3 linked regions of the Rhinolophus ferrumequinum genome follow. The protein of the gene in region 1 purifies or fractionates together with the protein of each later gene. This does not show direct contact. Links are inferred from orthologs where the notes say so. Each region holds a gene or a part of one and is shown in the gene's direction. Other genes may lie near its edges.

Region 1 (7,125 bases):
AAGAGGTGGGGAAATATGTACAAAACAATCAATGACTGCTTATCAAAGATTTACAAGAGCCTCACGACCAAATTCAGATCAGCACGGGTCAGTGGATCTACTGGGAACAGAGATTTAGAGATTTCAAGCTCTTCCTTGGATCCCTGTTGGTGCATACTTGTCTACAGTCCTCACCCACCTCTTGCCCCACCCTCCTCCCCTTGAATTTGGGATGCTTTTAAGATAGATTTGCAAAAGTGTTAAGGTCCCCATATTTTCTAGCTAATGCCTTCTCGATCAATAAACTTTTCCTTATTCCAAACCCTGACGTTTATGACTATTGGACTGTGAAGTGTCGGGCGCACAAAACTTGAATCGGTAACAGAACTACTTAGAAGCCAAACACTAAACATCGTAATGATCACCATTTAGTGAAAAGTTAGAACCAATGAAATGTATAGCACAATACCAATATATATGCACATGAAACACAATACTATATATTTTACATGGATAATTTAGGATATATGCCCAATACATTGGAGGATGCTTTTCCAGAGAGATGAGATAGTATATTAAGGATGAAGGGGGAAAACAAGGATTTTTGCACAGACATCTTGATAATGTGCCTTTGAATAAGAGGATTGATTATACCAGTGTGTCTGAGATCCAAAAAAGGGGGGAGTTAATTTGCATACCAAACTATGAAAGGATATAAATTATATCCATGCATTTTAAAAATTATCATGTAACTATCGCAACTTAAAATTTAACTTTATAAAAAGTGTTACGATGACAATAAGCTAGATATAGTGCTAACCAAGACTCTAAATGTCTTAAGCTCAATTGTCAAAAGATGTATTAAGTTGCATCCCTGCTACAGACCTAGGGGACTATTCACAAGTAAGCCAGGCAGAGTAATATGGTTTTGGAGAAAAAGGAAAAAAAAAAAACAAGCTAGAAATGAAATTAAAAATACACTGAGATATCATTTCTCACCTATCAGATGGGCACAATTTTAAAAGCTGACCATGTACCATGTTGGAGAAGTTGTGGGGAAACAGACACTCTCATACATTGCTTGTGGGAATGTTAAGTTGTACAATGTCTATTGAAACCATATACGCTTTTACTCTCTGACCCAGTAACCCTACTTCCAGGAATTTATCCTGATAATAAATCTTCAATAATATAAAAATATAAATGTATTATTTGTAATTGCAAAGTCCTGGTAATTACCTAAGGGCCCACTTAGCTATAACTGAGTAAACTACGTTACGTACACCAGTGGAGGACTATGTAGTTGTAAACAGATGAGGACAATTCCTATGAACCAATGAGTGTTTTCTGTGAAATATTTCACTGAGAAAAGCAGAGTACAAAAGAAGACCTAGAATATGTTACCTTTTACATGAGAAAGAAGGGGAAATATATATGCATGTTTTTGCATAAAATAACTCAGGAATAAAACAAAACAATGAAGCTGGTTACCTACAAAGAGTAGAGAACAGGGAGAAAGGAATAAGTGAAAGAATGACATTTTCCTGCATTCACCTTTTTGGATAAATTTTACTGTTGGAAGCTTGGATAATGTTCTACATACCAAGAAAATTAAATTAATAAGGATGGGAGTAACAAACTATATGCAAGCAGAAACAAATTTAACTCTTAAATGAATACTATCACCGCACACTGAAATGAAGGGAAGAGAGAAACCAAATTAAAGTAACTTGAACACAGCTATGAACCCTCATTTTCAGGGGATTTGATTAAATATAAGATGTCATTAATTGTAAGATGAGACTCAATTTCAGAGATGTTAAACTGAAGGGGAAAAAAATGGTATCTTAGAATCCATGGACTATGGTATAATATGGGAAAGTGAAAATTAGAATTAAATCAATAATCTAGATAACTCAAGAATATTAGAGTAAGCACCAAATGTTTCTTTAGGGTGTCAGGGTAAGGGCTTTTCTGAGGTTTATGATAATATATGAAAGTACATGTATATTAGGGGAATGACAATTATTGCTTAATTGGCACAGAGTTTAGGATTATGAAAAAGTTCTGGAAAGCATAGTTATGAGAGTTGTTCAACATTGTGAATGTCTCTGATGCCTTGAATTGCATGTTTGAAAGTGGATAAAATAGTAAATTTTATGTTTTACCACAATAAGAAAAATCACCAAAAAAAGTATTGCACGATTTTAGTAGAAAATTACAGTAAATTATATATTCCTCTTATATATGTATATAAAATACATAACATAGTCATGGAATCTGGGGGCCGAGCCTTTTTAAACAGCATTAAACAAAATTATTGACAGGACTGATGACAATATAGCAGAGAGGTTCAAGAGCATAGGCTCTGGCTACCTGGCTTCATTTTCCAGCTCCGTCTGAGTGACCTTGGGCCAGTCACTTATCTTCTCTACCTCACTATCCTCATTTGGTTAATTGAAACAATAATAAAAGCACCTACTTCATAGGGTTGTAATAAAGGGACTAAATGAGATACTCAGAAAATACCACTCATGTTCATTCTGAGCTTTCCAGGCTTAGCTGAAATCCAGCCTCCTTTAGTTCTTTATAGACGAACCTCTTCAGAGACTGCAATTTCTCTCACAATCATACAGGTACCCTTTCTCTGCAGTAGCATTTCATCACCTTTTCATCTTTTGTCCTTAGTTGGTTTGCTACTATATACAAGGCACTTAAGAGCAGGAGCTCTTCCAGCCTTATTTCCCACTCTATGACCTATTTCTATGGATGGGCATATTTATAACTTTCCACACGTGTGTGGTCTTTCACACATTTGTCCTCTGCCACAAAACAAATTCCTTAGAACGTCTTCTACTCCAGGCAACTTCAAGGTTTTGCCTAGGGAGAAGTTTCAAAATTCAGTTCAAATCCACCTTTCTAAAGTTTTTTCTAACTGTTGCCTAGAAGGGATAAGCAACTATTAGATTGCTCAAATACTGTACTATTGGATAGGCACTTGTAAAAATTTAATCTTCACAAACTGAAAAAGTAGGCCTTACTGAGCCCTTTTAACAGATGAGGACTTGGAGGCTTGGGGAGATTTGGTGGTTGTCCAAGAAAGAACACAGCTACACAGTTGGCAAAACCAAGATTGAAACCTTTGCCTTCTGATACTGGATGTTGCCTCCCTCTTGGGTTCAGCGGCAACAAGAGGAAATATGCTCTTCCAGGGAACTGGCAGTTAGCAGTCGCTCGATAAATACTTGGCGAATGAACAAATTATTAGAACATTGCATAAACACTGCGGCAAACGCAGTGTATAATACTGGAGCTGGAAGGGACACAGATAAATATAATACACAACGATCATCTCATCTTTCTGATGCTGAAAGGGTAGATTCGAGATGTTAGGGCCCCACACCTAGTTAATGGCAGAGACAAGGCTAGAAAGCATTCACTTACTCAATAAATATTGAATGCCTGTTGGGAGAGTGCTAGACTCTGGGGAGACAGTGTTGTTGAGGAAAGGCACAAGCTTCCCCAATCCCTTTGCAGAGCGCTGAAAAAGCACTGCAGGAGACCAAGGTGGGGACAAGGTTCCCAGAGAAAACGATGTGAAGAAAGAACCAGGCGAGCTGGGTCTGCACCCGAAGTGAGGAAGAACAAAGAAAAGAAGAGGGAGAAAGCGGTGGAATCTTTGGCTCTTTCGGACCGTTTCTCCGCCGAGCCACGCGGGGGCGCAGCAGCCTTCCTCGGGTCCTTTGCCTGCTCGCCTTTCTCTCGGCGGAAATGCCCAGGCGATGACGGAAACCCGGAGGGAGGGGACAGAGAGAGCGAGGGGACAGAAAGGGCCAGAGAGCCGGGAGAGGCCTGCCGGGGAGAGGCGGCGGCGGGTGGCCATCGTCAGGAGGGAGCTGCACCGAAGACCCGCGCCGCGCTCCCCCACACCTCCCCGCGCCTCCCAGCGACACCCGGGGCGCGCGGCCGGGCGGGCAAGAGCGGCCGGGGGTCTCCTGGAGGCCGCGCTCCCGGAGCCGCCCGCTGGGCTTGGGCGGGGCGCGGGGCCGGCGGCCGCGCTCCCCGGCTCCTTCTCCCGCTGGGAGCTGGCGGCGGCGGCGGCGGGAGAGGGGAGCGGCGCCCGGGGCGGGCGAGGGTGGGGCGGGGAGGGGGGAGGGCAGCGGCGGGGCCGGGGATCCGGCAGCCATGGACGACAAGGCATTCACCAAGGAGCTGGACCAGTGGGTCGAGCAGCTGAACGAGTGTAAACAGCTGAACGAGAACCAAGTGCGGACGCTCTGCGAAAAGGTAAGAGAGAAAAGAGAAATGCGGGAGCGGGGGGCTGATTGGAGCGGGCGGCGGCCCCTCTCCTCCCCGGGCCGTCCACTCTGTGACCCGCGGGGCCCAGCCCGTCCAAAATCCGGGGCGTTGAGCTGGCCTCTCCGGGTACCTCTGCCTCCCCGGCGGATGCTCACGTTACTGGCCTCGGGTCCTTGTAGACGGGCAGGAGAAACGTGGCACCTGGAATCCACTTTCTGTGTTTTTGGGAGTCACTGACATTCTTCTGGGGAGTTACACTCCAGTATTTCCCGTGTGGACTAGCAATCTCGGCGCTTGCTAGTCCACACGCCGGCCAGTTATTCTAATACCATCTCTTATCAGAAAATGCATCGGGAGCATCTGAGATCTTTCTTCTTGGCAATGTTGTCAGTTTGGCTCCAATAAAATCTTATAAAAATTTTTTTAAAATGCACCGAAAACCAACCTGGATGTTGCTAATGTTAACGAACTTGTTATAAATGGGAGCTTTTTTCGCAGGTGAATGGGCCTTTCAAAAATCGCTAATTTGGAATGTGTCAAGCATTTGTAGAGAGGTGGGTGTGATGGCAGACTGTGATTTCTAAAATAGAGGTTGACTTTGACTTTAGTTGTAACAGATGGTGACTGGTCTTCCCATAGAGAGACTCTTGGAAGCAAAATGTTGATTTTCAGAAAGACAGCAAATCTTAAGTTTGGAAACAGTGCTTTCTTGAAATATAAATGGGTTACGTGTTTTTCGTGTAGGGTAGCACTTTTCAGAAAATCCTTTCCGTTTCTATTATATATAAAGGGTTTTTTTTTTTCCCTGTGCCAAAGAGTAATAAAATATGCAGGTGGTTAACTGTTTACAGTCATTCTTGATTGTGTGATCTTAGACAACTTTCTGAATTTTGTATCTATTGTTTCCTTACCCGCTGGAATTATTTTGCACTCTCTATCTTAGTTACTTTAAAATCTAGAGCTTTTCTCACTCGTCTTTTATAATCTTGGACTAAATAATTTTGACACATTTTTACATAAAAATTCCTCAGTGAAGGAGTAAGGAGATTATTTCTTCTTTAATGCTGTTGGGTTGGTTTGTATTTTTAGACTTGATCATTTTGTTTGGAAGTCAGGATGCCTCAGAAACACATTGGAGAACAAAAGATTTTGTCAGTGTTGTTAATAGGGGACTCAAAATTAAGCAATTTACTTAGGGATGGAGGAGTAATAACTAATATTAAGTGAAAGTAGTGTTTTTAACAAGTGTAATGTTGTATAGGGCCTTAATATGTAAAATTTGGTAACAGAATTTATTTCTGTAGGTAGAACTGCCAAGGCAAGTGGTATTTTTCTCTTTTCTGAAACAGACTATTTGCTTATAATTTCAAGAAGATATTCGTTTTTCTTGTGTGATAACCTATAATTTCATGAGTCTTCAAATTTATGTTTTAAATCTTTCTCTCTCAATATTTCTCTCTCTAGTGTCAAGTGAAATACCCAGTTTTGAAATTAGCTGAGTCAGTTACCCTCACTGTGAACATTACATATAGTCTTGAAATTATGGACAAAGGTGGGAGTTGAATTCGTTTTCCGTTTGACTAATAATTTTAAGATGTATTCCTAGAGAATAATATTGTATCACTACTCAATCACACTTGAGTCTTAATCATGTGAGGAAATTTTCTGTATTTGTCAAGAGAGATTAGTTTTTACTTCAGCTCCTGAATAACTTGGACTACCAGTCCCTAGGATCTTGTAGGTATATTTAAGCTTAGATCTTACCCACTTTTTTCTTTGAATATTTGTACTTATGCACTAAACACGAGTTTGTAAGTGAAAATCCCCCTTTATCATTGTCCTCCACCCCTTTGATGGAGTTGCCAATGGATGGAGTCCAGTAATAGTATTTCTCTCTACTCTTCTGAGCACTGCTTAGTTTTTCAGCCCTCTTCCAGCAACTGTGGCATCCCTTTGTGGTATGTATACATATTTTACCTGCTAACCTTAATCTCTGGTTCTATTTTATATCTCTGCCCCATCCTCCTTTTTCCTGACAAGTGTAGTGTTTATGTATCAGGGACTGGAGTAGTCAGCCAGAGTTCCACAACTTGATAGCTGCTGCCTCTTTGCACCTCTTATTCCATACCTGTGAGACAGGGATAATACTTGCCCATCTCCTGGGTTGGTTGTGAATATTAAGATATTACCTGTGTAAAATCCTGGGGCACTCAATGAATGTTAAATGAAGAGAAACTAAAACTAAAAATAACCATTTAACCGACTTTGCTTTAAAGTTGTCTGTTGAAATTCGTTTGTTTTTGTTTGGTTCATCCAGTTCCCTTATATGTGGGGTCAAATACTTTATTTTAGAAATGACTAAATTAGCTTAAAATCTTAAAGAGCTTTTAACAAATTATGTTCTTATATCTGTGTCTGATTCTGGCTCTTGCATAAGTGACAGTGTGTTGAACGTGCTGTGGGAGATGCTGGGAAATTATATAACGTATGTACACATTGTTGTATTATACATTAGATTTGGTATAAAAGAAAGGACCTAAGAAATGCAAAAAAAAAAAAAATAGCTCTTGTATCTTGTTTTAAATCTGTCACCCCATTTTCTTTTAGAAAAAGATGCAGAATAAATAGATGGGTTGTTAAGACTCTCTCTGGTGAATGTACTTCAAAAGAGGTTTTCTGTATAGTGGCTAGGGAATCCTGAAAAATAGTTTCAGTATTTCTTGTGATCCCTGTTATCTGAAGCACAGAGTACTGGGATTAGTAGTAATTGTGTGAAGTAACTTTACTCCTCCTTTGGTCTACTTAATACTTGCTCAACCTTTCCAGGCTAAGAATGGCAGGCTTATA
Region 2 (7,052 bases), on another chromosome or scaffold:
AAAGTTAAGTAACTTTTCCAAGGCCACATACTGGTAAACATTGCAAACTAGAATTCAAACTCAAATTATTTCACTCTGGGATACTTTCCAATACACCACCCTGCCTCATTAGGGTTCTTTCCTTAAAATGTTCTTTATTGAAATCCCTCCTGATTCAAATAGCTGAACACCTGCCGCCACCTCTATTTCTTCAATCATGGCATACTATGGGTCTGCTCCCACAATGTGACTTTTTGTTTAAAATTCTCCAAACAACATTCTAAAGTTCTCCCATCCTATACATACATTAGCATACAGGCAACACTCCCCTGCTACTTTATTTTGCATCATATACTGGAAAGAATTAATTTGCTTGAAAGTGTGATAACTAAGACTAGAAGAATGATATATGCAAATAGCTTGCCTCTAGAGGAATAATGAGGGTCCTTGTTTTGCTGACTTTGTCTAATTCCTGGTATGATGTTAGTGGAGATGCCTAATCTAATATTCTGGTATTTGTTCATTATGGATTTTTTGCATAAATTTTGCAAAAATAACTGCATTAAAGCATTCATCTTGATTACTGAGTTTTGGGTGCCTCTTAAATTTTGCACCTCAGGAGAGTGGAAGTCTTTACACTACCCCTTTCCCTACCTGCAAGTAGATGACTGAAGTTCCACAATCTTCATCTCTGTTCATGTCTCCCACACATCTCTAACAGTAGCTAAATAAATCTGCATGCACAGCAAGTAACATCATGGGGCTCCTTCTACTGTGTTGTGTTATACTATCACTCAAACTTATGTAGATACTTTTGGGATTTTCAAATATACAAGCCTACATAAAAGCATTATATACCAGGATATTCACTGTAGCCTGAATAGAAGATCTGGAACAACCTCAACGTCCATTAGTAGGTGACTGGGTAACTATGTCATTCTTACAAAGAATATCATGCAGCTGTTCATGAGGAATCCCGCTGTTTTCACCTGCTCCCCCTCCCCCCAGCAGTGCTGGGCTGCATCGTGCTCACTCCCAGCTCCTGCTAAGCCAGTGCCACTGTTGTGTCTTTCCAGCCACCGTCGTGATGATCTACTGGGACCAAATCAGCCACGATGAGATGTTCTCCAACATCTACAAGATCCAGGAGACTGAGGATGGGCTGTGCCTGGAGGTGGAGGGGAAGATGGTCAGTAGAACAGAGGGTGATACTGATGACTCCCTCATTGGTGGAAATACCTCGGCTGAAGGCCTGGAGGGCGAAGGTCCTGAAAGCACAGTAGTCGCTTGTGTTGACATTGTCATGAACCATCATTAGCAGGAAGACAGCTTCACAAAAGAAGCCTACAAGAAGTACAAAATGATGAAATCCCTCAGAGGGAAACTTGAAGAACAGAGACCAGAAAGAGTAAAACCTTTTATGACAGGGGCTGCAGAACAAATCAAGTACATCCTTGCTAATTTCAAAAAACTACCAGTTCTTTATTGTTGAAAACCTGAATCCAGATGGCACGGTTGCTCTGTTGGACGACTGTGAGGATGGTGTGACCCCATAGGTGATTTTCTTTAAGGATGGTTTAGAAATGGAAAAATGTTAACAGAGTTGGCCATTGGGATCCATCACCTGTCATCATAACTAGCTGCTGCTTTTCATCCACTCCCCGGTCTAGAACAAATAGGACTGATGTTATCTTGAGCTGTTCCATTTATTTTCACCTTGATTTATTTGGAGTGGAGGCATTGTTTTTAAGACAATCATATCATGTAGATTGTCTAAAAATAAAATGCATTTAAACTCTTTTGAGAGAATGTCTCTTAGTTTAATACACATTTAAAACCATTCCTGTGTAGTGTTCCTGGAGAAGCTAGAGCCTGTTAGACCATTACTATAAAGTGTAAGACTGTCTTCAGATAACTTCTACAATGAAAACTACTGGGACTGGAATATAAAAAACAAGGATCAAAAGTCTAAATTCAGAGTTGAGTGAAGGGAAAGACCATGCTCACAGTAAACATTTCAAGTGGATTCCTTAGACATTTCATCACCTGCAAACGGAAGTAGTTAACTCTGGAAGAGATTACCAAAAGAATAAAAAGATATTAATACAATTGGGGACAAAAATGAGGAATCCACTTGCATTGATATTTTACAATCTCCAAGGTACTTTAACACACCCAACACTGTGTATTATAAATTGCCATTTTGTGAGGGGAAAATGCTTATATTTATGTATGTACAGAGGGTGCCAAAAAAAGTATACACATTTTAAGAAAGGAAAACTGTATTAAAATCATAATACTTAGTATATACCAATAACAAAAGATGAATACAAGTCACATTTGACCTCTGCAATTACAGGAGGGGCCCAAAGCAGTTACCATCAGTGTCCAAACACTTCTGATTAGGGCTAACTACTGCTTGAGTAATGTTGACCAAAGTGTCCACTTGTATACATTTTTTTGGCACCCCAGTATTTATTTCTAAATTCAGAAAGCATCTGGGAGAATTCAGAGCATCTAAAGGTTTAACTATGCTTGTTTGGAGGAAGTTATACCAGCAGGAAGAAGTCTTACTTTTATCATATACCCTTTGGTACCTTTTGAATTCTGAACAATTTTCATTATCTATAAAAATAAAAAACAAAACATTACTGAATACCTCGTACTTGGAGGGGTGGGGGAACTGGATGCTAGAAAACAATTGTAGATATTTTTTTCAGAATTTTTCTGTCTTCAGTGTCCTCTCAAAGGCTGGACAACACTGCTCAATCAAGTTTGAGTTTTCAAACTTGCCTTGAGGGTCTAAGGCCTCAGCAGTGAGTTTTGAGCCCAGAGGGTGAACTGACTTGCTTCTCCTCAAAGTCCACACCAATCCCACAGATTTCTAAAGGCATCTAGCACTTTCTCCCTTGCATTCTCCCTTGCATTGTATCTCTTCGTCTTCCCTAGACCTAAAACACCTAGGATACTAGGCAAGAATAAGAAACATCTAAACCTGTAGAGAATTATGAGTTTATTTATTTTTATGAGTTTATTTATGCTGGGAAGCAAAATCTCAATGGAGTGAGAAAATGCTCCGGAGAATGGCAGTTTCACAGCTTATTTTATACATTAGAATCAAAGGAGGCATAAGGAGGGTTACATGAAATCCATTGGTGGTCCATTAAGGAGGTGGAAGAAAGCATAGCAGAGAAATCTCTGGGATTCCATAAAAGGCAAAAGGAAGAAACACGCTTCTTACACTGGTGGGTACAGGATAGTAACATTTACAGCACACAGAGATGGTACCTGGGAAACAACATAATGAGGGGCTCTGTGGTCTTGTGCTCTGGTGCCAGCAGTTGTGCCTTTGGAAAAGAAAATTACTCGGACACTTCAAAGATACATTATCCTAGACGCCTACGCTATGGCTCGAGTTCCCTTAAGGTAAAGGCTAACCTTTGCTACGGAAGATGTAGGCCGACCTGCTATTACCTGCCCAGTTAGGAATTTGTGATCAGACAATCTTGGGTGGTTACTTTTCATCACTGAGTTTGTCAGGACTGCACGTGGCCCCGCTGAGCCTGTCAAGTTTATTACATAACCCTTTTCCATTCACAATCCTAGTCAGATTCACTACAGTAGCCCCACATGACCTAGAACACTAACAAGCACATAGGATGCAGTCAAGAAAACTGGTGACAGGGACAAAAGAAGGGCAGGAAACAAAGCAAACTCCGGAGGGAGGGAGGCCACTGTACAACCTGCGGTCAGAGACCTCCAGGAAGGAGCGCCAGCTCTCTAGTCACCCAAGAGGCGGACGGGCGCGCGGCCCACAGCCCCAACCTCCCGCTGAGCGGGACTCGGTCGGCCCCCGCTATGTCCTCAGGGCTCGGTTAGCAAAGCCAGCGAGGACACCGGAAGCTCGGGAGCCCTTACCGCTCGAGAACACGCTCCCCGCCTCCCTGCGCAATGGCGCCGAAGCCCGGGAGTGAGGGGCGGGGCCGCAGGCGGCCGGCCATGCGACCAAGACCCAATGAGCGGCGCCGGCCGACCGGCGGCCCAATGAGGGCGGCGCGTGGGCACGCTGGGGGCGGGCAGGGCGCGCCCGACTTTTCCAGAAGACCCGGATAGCGCCGCTGGGCCACGCTGAGCCGGCTGTGGGCGATCTTCACGCCTGCTGTTTTCTTTTTCTGCTGCTGGGTCAGTTATGGCGGCTGTGAAGACCCTAAATCCCAAGGCCGAGGTGGCCCGAGCCCAGGCTGCGTTGGCGGTCAACATCAGCGCGGCCCGGGGGCTGCAGGACGTGCTGCGGACCAACTTGGGGCCTAAGGGCACCATGAAGATGTAAGGCGGGGCTGGTGGGGGAGGGCCGGGCGGGCACCGCGCACCTCGTGTGGCCGCGATGCCGGCAGTCGTGGTCTCCAGCCCGCTGCTTCCGGGCCTGTGCGCCCGTTGCTTCTCCCCTTTTACCCCCGTTCCCATGTCAGGCCTGTTTCCTGCCCCGGCTGTTTTCTCTTGTAGTCGATGCATCCTTCGCAGAGAACAAAGCTGCCCTCGTGCGCGGATCTCTGGGACTAAAGCGACCCTGAGGACGCGCGGCACACTGTTTCTCAGAAGGGAGGGGGTGGGCACTGCGCCATTCCTGTTAACCGGGAGTGGACGACCAACTTAATGGCCGCGTGCGGCTTCTTAGGATCTGGGTAAAGCGTGGTGTCGATGGGAGTCAGTTTGGTCTCCGTTGAAAAAGTCACATTGATTTCGTTTCTGCTCATTGAACAGGCTTGTTTCTGGTGCTGGAGATATCAAGCTTACTAAGGATGGCAACGTGCTGCTTCATGAAATGGTGAGAGGCTGCTATACGTTTAAAAGGTCTTGGTTTGCATTGGAGGTTTAATTTGTAGGGAGATGTTTAATGTTTATTCTCAAGGTAGGAGGAAATCATATTCATCACCTCTCAACAGGCCAGTCTTACAGACAATGGAGAGAGTAGGAAAGTAGTCTAATCAGTAATGGTAGCCACAGTATGTTACAGTGAGGAGCCCTGGAGTCTGATACTTATTTATGAATAAGACAAAGGTCTTGTCATTTAAGGCCTTTAAAGGATTGAAATTATTAAGATTCTAATCTGAAAACCAAGCAGTTGACACATTCACATAGGCAGAATGAGACAGGTTGTTTGTACTTTGTCTCTTTAAAACAGCAATTTCTCTGTTACCTGTCATCTCTTCCATCTTCAACTGGAGGGGAGATAAAACGCCTTGCTTAACCATTTTAAAAGTCCTGTGACCAAGAATCTGAGATTATTGAGAGGATCAAAAATTTTACACATCCATAAGTTCCCAAAACTTAGCAGTTCAAATCCAAGAAAAGGAAATGACTTGCCTGTGTTTTGAGTTAAGAATAAAATGTAGGGCTTTGATAGTAGGGTACCATGCCTTCAGCATCCAAATGTAATCAGTGGCCTGTGCTGGCTGAGAACACTTGGAGTCATAGTTGAAACTTAATATCAGAAAAGACGTAGCTACATGGTTTTTTTTTTTATTTTACTTGATTTTTTAAATTGTGAAATACAGCATAAACATAGAGAAGCACATTAAACATTTATAGCTTAACAAGAAACTGTAAAGGAAACAGAAGTATACAGTGTCACCTCTGTGTTGGTCTTGCCAAAAATAGCAAATGTAGATAATGAGATAGTCTACAAGGTAATTGGGCTGGATTCTTAAAACTGTCAATGTCCCCAACGATCTGAAGATTAAAGGGTAAAAAGCAAAAGCAGTGCAGGAGCCTTGTTTGAATCCTTTCTCATTAAGAATCTGTGCGTGATATTGGAGACTTGAAGAATACCCTGTTCTTCCAAAGCCTTCCCATGCAGTGATTTAGCATCCACTGATGACCTTTGCTAGGAGGGCTATTTCTTTTTAATTGTTTGATGCCGAATAATATTGGAGGCTGCTAAACTTTTATTTTAGAAGTTACCTGATTTATTCCCACCAAAAGCCCTTAATTGAGCGTCAAATTTCCTTATCAATAAAGTGGAGATAATCTTGAGAAATATATACATGACAATATTTTGGTCGTCAGAAACAATGCAAAATAGCTAATGGTGACTTCTTAATCAAAATAATATGTAGCTGAACACTTGGGTAATTTGTGCAAATACATAGCATTTAAGGATGCCGTTCACATTTTAAGGTATATTTGTATTGTTTCAAGTTACTTAATTTTTTTTTCCTTTTTCTACTTTCAGCAAATTCAACACCCAACAGCCTCCTTAATAGCCAAAGTAGCAACAGCCCAGGATGACATAACTGGTGATGGTACCACTTCCAATGTCCTAATCATTGGAGAACTGCTGAAACAGGCGGATCTGTACATTTCTGAAGTATTACATGATTCTTACGTGTTTCTGTGATACTTTATTGTGTATAGAAAATAATCTGAGTTTTATTTATACAAATTGATGTGTTAGTAGTAGCTGAGGCTATATATAGTAGAATGTGAAGAGCATAGCGGCTTAAATCTGGGAACCAGAGTCTTTATCTTGGTCTCACACAAATTAATTGTGATCCTAGACAAGTTAAAGATCCTTCCTGGGCCCTGAAGGTTTCTTATTTTATCAAGTTGCATTGCATGTATGACATATGTCTGTCTATAATGTAGACTAATAATTGAAATCAGGACTAGGCATATTTATAAGGAAAAAGCCAACCAAAAACGGACTTAAGAATTCTACAACTTTTTTTAGCCCTGAGTAGGTCCAAAGTTAAAGCAAACCTTAATAAATACTAATCTGATGTCAAGAAAAACTTCTTAGGAAGGCAGGAGGCAGACTCTTAGTCTCCCTGTCTACTTTTTCTTGGTAAATGATAATGAATTAATTTCAGATTACCTATAGAAAAGATATAATGGTCCTATTGACTGCAGGTTGTTGTGACACTTGAGTTTTTGTCATTATTCCTTGTAGTTTGCACAGTGAACACCCAAGTGTGCTTTATAGTTCCCTTGGCTTTGACTCTGTGCTAGAGCAATGTCTGTTCTTCTCCTCTGCATTGAAAGGACTATTTATCCTTTTAAATGTATTCAGAAAG
Region 3 (7,660 bases), on another chromosome or scaffold:
TGATCCCTAATATCTAACCACAAAGGATTTGTACCATCCCAGACGGGGCCTCTGATCCTGCTCTATTCTGATTGGGTCCCAACCTTACTGGTTGTGATAAAGTTTTAGTATCACTCCTGCCTAAAACAATGTGAAAATAAATGTGAATGACATTACAAATGAAATAGAATAACTATGGGTTAGAAATTTAACTTCCAATTATGAATGCTGCACAACAAATTATCCTGAAACTTAGTGGCTTCAATAACAGTATTGCTCACGAGTCTACAATTTGGGCAGGACCGGGTGGGGCAGCTTGTCTCTGCTCCAGTTAGTGTTAGCTGGAGTGGCTTAAAGGCTGGTGTGATGGTTAATTTGATGTGCCAAAGGCTAGGCCAAGTGCCCAGATATTTGGTCAAATACCAGTCTAGATGTTGGTTTAAAGGTGTTTTTTTTTAGAGATTAACATTAAATCAGTAGACTTTGAGTAAAGCAGATTACCTGCCATATAGGTGGGCCTCGTCCAATCAGTTGAAGGCTTCAAGAGAACCAGACTGAGGTCCCACAAAGTGGGAATTCTGCCAGCAGACTGCCTTTGGACTCAACCTGCAACATCAACCATTCCCTGGGTCTCCAACCTGTTGGTCTCCCCTACGCTGGTTGCTGCTATTGTTTTGTCATTGGCTCTCACTCAAAAATTCCAACTTAATATCCCGTCACAGTCAAATACAGTTAAAATCTTCCTTCATAGATATTTCTATTCTCCTTTTGTCAGAGAGATTTCTCTGACTAATATTTCCTTGGCTTGTATGCTCACGCACACACACTCTCTCACACACAAATATTTATATAAAGATAAATGACTGTCCCTACTTTCTTGTTGAAGAAAGTTCTTATTGATAAATTTTAGTTTTTCCATAATTCTGCACATCAGAACACAAAAAAGCCCTAGAAAAATTCAAGATTAAGCCACAAGACTGAATCTAGAAAAAGAAAATAACCAGAAAACTCATCCCTAAATTTGGTGTTTCCATAGTTTGTTAGAATTGCATAGCTTGTTAGATTTGCAACCTGAATGGTTGAATTTATTATTGAAAAGGCAGTAGACAGGATTATAGATCAGATTTGGCATTTAGGCTTGACATTTAAATAGAAATGTCTTTAATCAATCCTGATACATAATTTTATTCAATTTACCTCAAATGGTGAGTGGTCTCATTACATTACCATAGCTACATCTCTCCATTTCTCAATTTGTTTTGTCTAGAGATCAATGTCAAATTTCACATTCTCAGGAGAGAAAACATGTAGCTATTCACCCAGAATTTAATTAAATTCAACAAACATTCAATTCAATTAAACAAATAGTGAGTGCCTACTATATGCCAGGCATCTGTTTAATTTATTTTAAAAATAGTAAAAATAACCAACATTTTTGAGCACCTACCATGTGCCAAGTACCATGCTATTTCCTTTACCTGTGTTCTTTCTTTTAATCCTCACAAAACCCTATGGAGTAGGTACTATTGTAATCTCTACTGTACAGATGTGGAAACTGAGGCACAAAGAAGTTAAGTACCTTGACTAAAATTATTTGATTCGATTCAGGCCCTTTTGACTCCAGAGTTCATGTTCATAATCCACTCTTAAGGAGATAAAGGGCTTTACAGTCTAAGGAATAAGGAAGTAGAAGATAAATGCAGAAGTATCAATAGTACATACAGCCCTAAGGGAGATACACAGCATTGTGGAGTCCAGGGGTGAAAGAGTACCTGCAAAGTATGAGCAGTCATGAAATTTTTCCTGTGGTAGATAGTTTGTGAGCTTGTACTTAAACAGTGTGGCAGAAATTGTGAACCAGGGGATATGTGGTTCAGGTTATGGAATAAAGTTCTAGAGGTAGGAATGAGCCGGCCGTGTCTGAGATCCAGTTTGACTCAAATTAGCATCCAGTTAGGGTAGGATTAATAGCCACTGCTTATTTCTATCTTTTATGTGCCAGGTTCTTGTCAGATGTTATTTCTAATTTTTAAGACAACCCTACAGGGTAGATATCGTTAGCCTTGATTTATAGACAATAAAATGGAGGTTTTTGAGGAGTCATAGGGCAAGTAAGTGACCGAGCCAAGATTTGAAGTCTTCCTGACACCACATCCCTGTCTTTTCTATGTTTTCATGCTGCGTTACTTCAGGGAGACAGAAAGCTAGGCTGGGGCCACATTGAGAAAGGTCTTGATGACTGAGGTGAGGAATTTTTACTTACGTTGTCAGGCAGAGGAGAGCAGGGACAAAACTCACTCTGAACTCTGGGAAGACAACCGCAATTCATTTGGGCAGTAGAAATGAGAGCCTGAATTAGAAGAATAGTGGTGCCTGCTGGTGGGAATGTAAATTGGTACGACCATGATGGAAAACAGTATGGAGGTTCCTCAAAAAATTAAGACTAGAGTTACCATATGACCCAGGAATCCCTCTTCTCGGTATCTGACTGAAAAATTTGAAAACATACGTAAAGAAATACGTACCCCTATGTTCACTGCATTATCCACAGTTGCCAAAACATGGAAATAACTGAAGTGTCCTTCAACAGATGATTAAAGAAGATGTGGTATATATATATACACACAATGGAATATCACTCAGCCATAAGAAAAAGATGAAATACTGCCATTTGCGACAACATAGATGGATACTGAGAATATCATGCTAAGTGAAACAATTCAGAAGGAAAAAGTTGAGAACCATATGATTTTATTCATAGGTGGGATATAATTTGGGAGCTGGAGGTGCTGGTGACTTCTGTATCTATGTGGAGGTGGGTAACAGACAAGTGGAGAGTTTAGTTAGAAGTTTGGGGCCAAGATCCAGTTATACAAAGAAAACTAGGAGTCCAAGTCATCGTAATCAACAAAAACCATAAAGTGCAGGAAAATCCAATCTTGGTGTCAACTAAGAAGTAGGAAAAAAAAAGGGACCCTATTTAACACCTATTATGTGCCTAGCACTGTGGAAACAATGGGAATGGTGACAAAACTTTTCTCATTAAGCTTCCAATCTTGTTCCAGAATTAATTACTCTCATGAAACAGTGAGCAAATAATATAACACTTGATATGCTCGAATGCTAATCTGTAGGGTATAGACAGTAAGAGTTATGGGATGTTGAAAAGGTGAGAGGTTGATATTTGGGACGTGAGGGAGAGGGCAGGAGTCAGCACAAAGCTTAATAAGATGGTGCATAGACTGATATGCAGGTAACAGTGCTCCCCATGTAGTGACAGGAACTTTTGGAGTTTTTTTCTATTGCCCAGGAAGTAGCATGGAGGTGGAAAAGTATCAACGGGCTTTGGAGTAAGGGAGACCTCAGCTCTTATACCTGCCGTTTACTGATGGTATAATACTGGGCAAATTACTTAACTTTTCAGAACCCATTTCCTCTTTTTAAAAAAGTGAGTATAATACTTAATAAGGTGGCTGTATAAATTCAGTAAAATAGCATGAAAAACATCGATCCCCACTGCTGTGCATAGAAAGGTTGGGGGAAAACCTAAATCATTCTTTCTTTATGTTGTTTTTCTTGCTACCACTTGCACCAGTGGAATACCCACATTGCCTGTTCTTCCCTCCAGCATACCTTCCTGGAGACACAGTACATATTTTTGTGCAGGATTTTTGTATGTCCATATATCTCCTATTCAGGCAAAGCCATAGGCCCTAACCAAAGAGGGGGCAGTTAGTGCCTTCTGCTTTTATTGATTTGATCTACTCAACAAGCGTTTATTGAGCACCTACAAAGTCCTAGTTACTATGCTAGGCCCCATTGGGGTATAGAGAGATAAAAAACACTTAAAAATCCTCAAAAGACTTACAAATGAGAAACAGTCGCGGGGTAAATAGCTATGGGACTTCAGAAGGTGGAAGAAAGTGATGGGTGGGGAGCTTGTACGCAGTGAACACCTAGCGGAAGGTGGCTTGATTTGCAGAAGAGCTGTCATTTATGCTACGTTAAGTCTTGACAGGTGATAGAATTCACCACGCGGAGATTGGGACAAGAGGATAAAGATATTAGGAGATACGCTGATCACTGAGAGATTCTCAAAGCACAGTTATATCCATGCCAGCTCCTAATGGGAGGAAACTCCGTTGTACTTGCTGAACAGAATTGTAAGCCTTGCGAATAAAACGGCCACAGTGACAGCAGTAGATAACAGCAGCAGCCGCAAAGCTGCAATCACTCTGAAACTGACTGGGGTAAAGAAGATGTATTTGCACAATTGGTGAAACATCGTAAACTCGGAGAAGCTGCAATTTCTAGACTTCGAGTTCATCTTCGCCAACGCCCCAGCTTGTTTTCTCGGCCGAGGGTGAAAGGCGCAGCCAGAAGGCCCAATTAGAATCAGGGGAAGAGGGCGGGGGAGGTCTCCGCTGCGGATCTACTTTGGCTCCTCCCCAGCCCTGCAAGGCTCAAACTTAGCCACACCAATCATGGCGCCCTCGAGGGTCCTCTCCTCCGTTTATGTCGCCTCACCTTTTGGACACACTCAACATGGCCCTAACCGAAGGTTGCATTCCTGTGGAACCATCTCGGGACAGTTCTCGCGAGGTTTGCCCGGGCCCCTACTGCTCCCGCCCTGCCTCGCGCCGCCGCCACCGCCACTGCTGCCGGCGCCGCTCCTCCTCCGTGTCAGTTGTTGGGCTGTAATGGCGACTGGGCCGCCGCTGCCGAAGTGACTCCCGGGCGGGGGAGTGGGGCCAGACCTGCGCCAGAGGGAACTGCAGAGAGCCGCCGCTGAGGGTCTGGCTTGCTGTGGGGGAGGAGAGGCAGCCTTTCCGCCTCTCCCTTCTTTGCAGACCCGCGGCTCCCGGGAGCCGGTGCGAAGCGGGCACCCGGGGCGTCCCCGGAGCGGGGAGGCCAGGCCGGGCAGCCCTGGGGCCGGTAGGGGCGGCGTCACTGCACCCTCCGCCAGGCCCCGCGGGATGCACCGTGGGAGCCGAGGGCGGAGGCGACACTCTCAGGTGAGCTGCGGGAGGACCTGGCTGGGACCGTGGACGCTCGCTTAGCCTCTGCTGCTTCTGTCCCTGGTCCCGGGTCCCCTCGGTGGCAGTGAGGGAGGCGGGGCGGGGCGCGGGGGCTCTGGCCCAGCCTGGCGTCCCCCTCGGCGAACCGCCGTGGGTCGTGAGGCTTGGCGGGGCTGGTCATCCTGAGACCTGGATTTGAAGTCCCACCCGTGCCTGCCGGAGACGGGATTTCCTTCCTTACCTGCCAATGCCTGCCCCCCACCCTCTTCTGCAAAAGATGTAAGCTGCCTCTCACCTTTGGTCTACGAAGTGTCTTTTAGAGATCAGGCATATTTGGGGAAATTCCGGGGAACTGGCTCCAGTGGCAAGGATGACTAGTTTCTGTTCCTTTTTGGTAGGGATAAACATTCTCAAGTATAGGAAAAACTTTGATCTTCTGCTCCAGTCTAGCAGCTACTGAATGCAGGCTACCGATTTATTAACAAATGATTTAAGGGGGAGATTTAAAAAGCTTTACGCTTTGAAAGTTGTCATTCCCTCCTTCCTCCCCCCCCCACCCCGCCCTCTCTTTAAATGTAGCCCAACACGCTAAATAATATTTGGCTAATGTTATAAATATGGGTTGGAATTCGGCTGGATTTTTAGTTTTCAGATAGGAAACTGCGCATAGGTATAGATTTTCATGTGGCTTTAGTGTAGTAGCAAAATCCTTCATAAAGGAAAAAACAGGTTGTCAGGAATAGTAATCAGTATCCATGTACTCCACCTGATTGTTTTGTTTTGATGGTGATCCTTGTTTTGAATTTGGAAAAGTCGTTAATGGTTGGTTCTGTTGCCATGTTAACGATGCCTCCTCCTGCCCTGTATTTTAAGGGTTTTAAAGGAAAGGCTATCTGAGGCAGAGGTAGTAACAACCTGAAAAAGGTTTGTGGAAGCAATGATAAAACATTGACAGCTGCTGCCCATTTCAGAAGTGTCTTAGTTTAAAATATTGTTGTTAGACCTGTGGTAGAAGTTGCTTCAAACCCATGGGCGTGCGAGTAGTAGTTTGTTTTGGTGTGCTAAATTGACAGATTCCAATGTAATAAAATAAATATGAACCATTGAACCCTCATTGCATTGAATTGAAGATACTTTAATCAGAAAGTAAACATCAAGCTAGAATACATTGTATGTGTTGATAAATACTTGTGTATCTCATCTTTTCATAGTAGCAGCACTGTAAGAATGATGGTTAAGTTATAATATGTAAACAATTTTGTACGTATGTGAAAGAATATCTCTGATTCTCGGAGATTACTTAGTGTGTAGTGTTATATAAGACCGTTCACACTTGAACAACAGGGTAATCAACTTATGAATTAGGAAGTTTTGAATTTTTTTCTGGTGCTTCTGATTGCCAATCTTTTGCCCAACACTTCTACCATATCATGGACAGAAGAAAGGAGATGAAGTTCCTGTCTAACCAACTTTATTATTTATTAAATTGCTCTGAGTTATAGAGGGAGCAAAAAAGAAGCTGCCGTCTAAAATAACTGACATCATTTTCTGGTGTGCTTCCACATACATTATTTTATTTAATCTTCATAGCAATTGGATGAAGTCGGTTTGGCAAATACCCTCATTTTGCAGTTGTGGAAATCGACACACAAGGAAGTTCATTTATTTATGTGAACACTGCTCTTATTCCTGCAGATGATTGAGAATAGTTTTTATTTTATTTATTTTTTATTGAGGTACAATTGACATATAACATTAGTTTCAGGCGTACAACATAATGATTCGATATTTACATATAATGTGAAATGATCACAATAAGTCTGATTAACATTCTAGAATTCGTTTTATCTTAAATCGAATATTATAGAGACTTCTGGCATTTGGTTTTTTTAAAATCTAAAAAAAATATTTTTGTTCCTTTTGACATGTCACTTGATCCTCATACTGATGATTTTCAGTTCTTTAAAAACATCAGTGTTTTTATAGCATTTTGAAATTTTTAACAAGTCGTGAATTATGATAATGGGTTGCTTTACTTCTATATGTACTTTTCGCTTGAAAAAATGTTCCTAACAATTGTAGTTAATTTGTCTCTCATTTTGTTTGGATGCTCATAGTTCTGTCATCTTTGGTACTTCAGATTATATACGCGTATACTCTCTTGTTATGTAAAAGGAATATTCAAGCCACCTGGTCAGTAGCATAACTGAAAAGTAGTAACATCTTGGTGATTTTATTGTAGAAACGATGGATAATTTAAAAAGTTAATTACACATGATTTGTATTTTTGCAGTGTGGGGCAAGTTGTGAAATAATTTTCTCCTTTTTTTGAAGATCTAATTGGCTTTAGTCAGCGATTCATGAATCGGGCAACACCCCATCTAGCAACTAGAAGGGCGCTCCCCAAATAATTTCCTTTACTTCTCCCCCCACGTCAAACAATTTCTAGTATCACAAATAGTCCAAAAACCTGATTAATCGAACGATTGCGTAGTTGTTTTCTGCACTAATATTTTTTTGGTTCATGATTATTACAAGGGTAACTTTATATTTACTAGTGGTTATTTTGGGTGATTATTTGCCTTTCTCATCTAGTCTGTAAGTTCTATGATGGGAGAGGTCCTCTATTAACTACTATGCACCCAGTGCCTAGCAATAAATAT

What was found. Proteins that work in one complex are often made in the same cells at the same time.
Region 2: the proteins of PPP2CB (region 1) and CCT6A purify together in Homo sapiens (affinity purification with mass spectrometry; 4 studies listed by BioGRID and IntAct, with this or other methods). This does not show direct contact. The link is inferred for Rhinolophus ferrumequinum from reciprocal best matches to the Homo sapiens genes PPP2CB and CCT6A.
Region 3: the proteins of PPP2CB (region 1) and CEP350 purify together in Homo sapiens (affinity purification with mass spectrometry; 3 studies listed by BioGRID and IntAct, counting the BioPlex papers as one, with this or other methods). This does not show direct contact. The link is inferred for Rhinolophus ferrumequinum from reciprocal best matches to the Homo sapiens genes PPP2CB and CEP350.

What each region holds. Positions count from the first base shown.
Region 1 is NC_046287.1:66,957,119-66,964,243, forward strand, and holds the start of PPP2CB (serine/threonine-protein phosphatase 2A catalytic subunit beta isoform), read left to right. Parts: upstream 1-4,024; 5' UTR 4,025-4,164; coding exon 4,165-4,266; intron 4,267-7,125.
Region 2 is NC_046290.1:99,864,958-99,872,009, reverse strand, and holds the start of CCT6A (T-complex protein 1 subunit zeta), read left to right. Parts: upstream 1-4,028; 5' UTR 4,029-4,168; coding exon 4,169-4,305; intron 4,306-4,740; coding exon 4,741-4,804; intron 4,805-6,211; coding exon 6,212-6,346; intron 6,347-6,929; exon of another isoform or gene 6,930-7,052. UniProt on the Homo sapiens protein: Component of the chaperonin-containing T-complex (TRiC), a molecular chaperone complex that assists the folding of actin, tubulin and other proteins upon ATP hydrolysis.
Region 3 is NC_046305.1:12,654,014-12,661,673, forward strand, and holds the start of CEP350 (centrosome-associated protein 350), read left to right. Parts: upstream 1-4,636; 5' UTR 4,637-4,994; intron 4,995-7,660. UniProt on the Homo sapiens protein: Plays an essential role in centriole growth by stabilizing a procentriolar seed composed of at least, SASS6 and CPAP. Required for anchoring microtubules to the centrosomes and for the integrity of the microtubule network.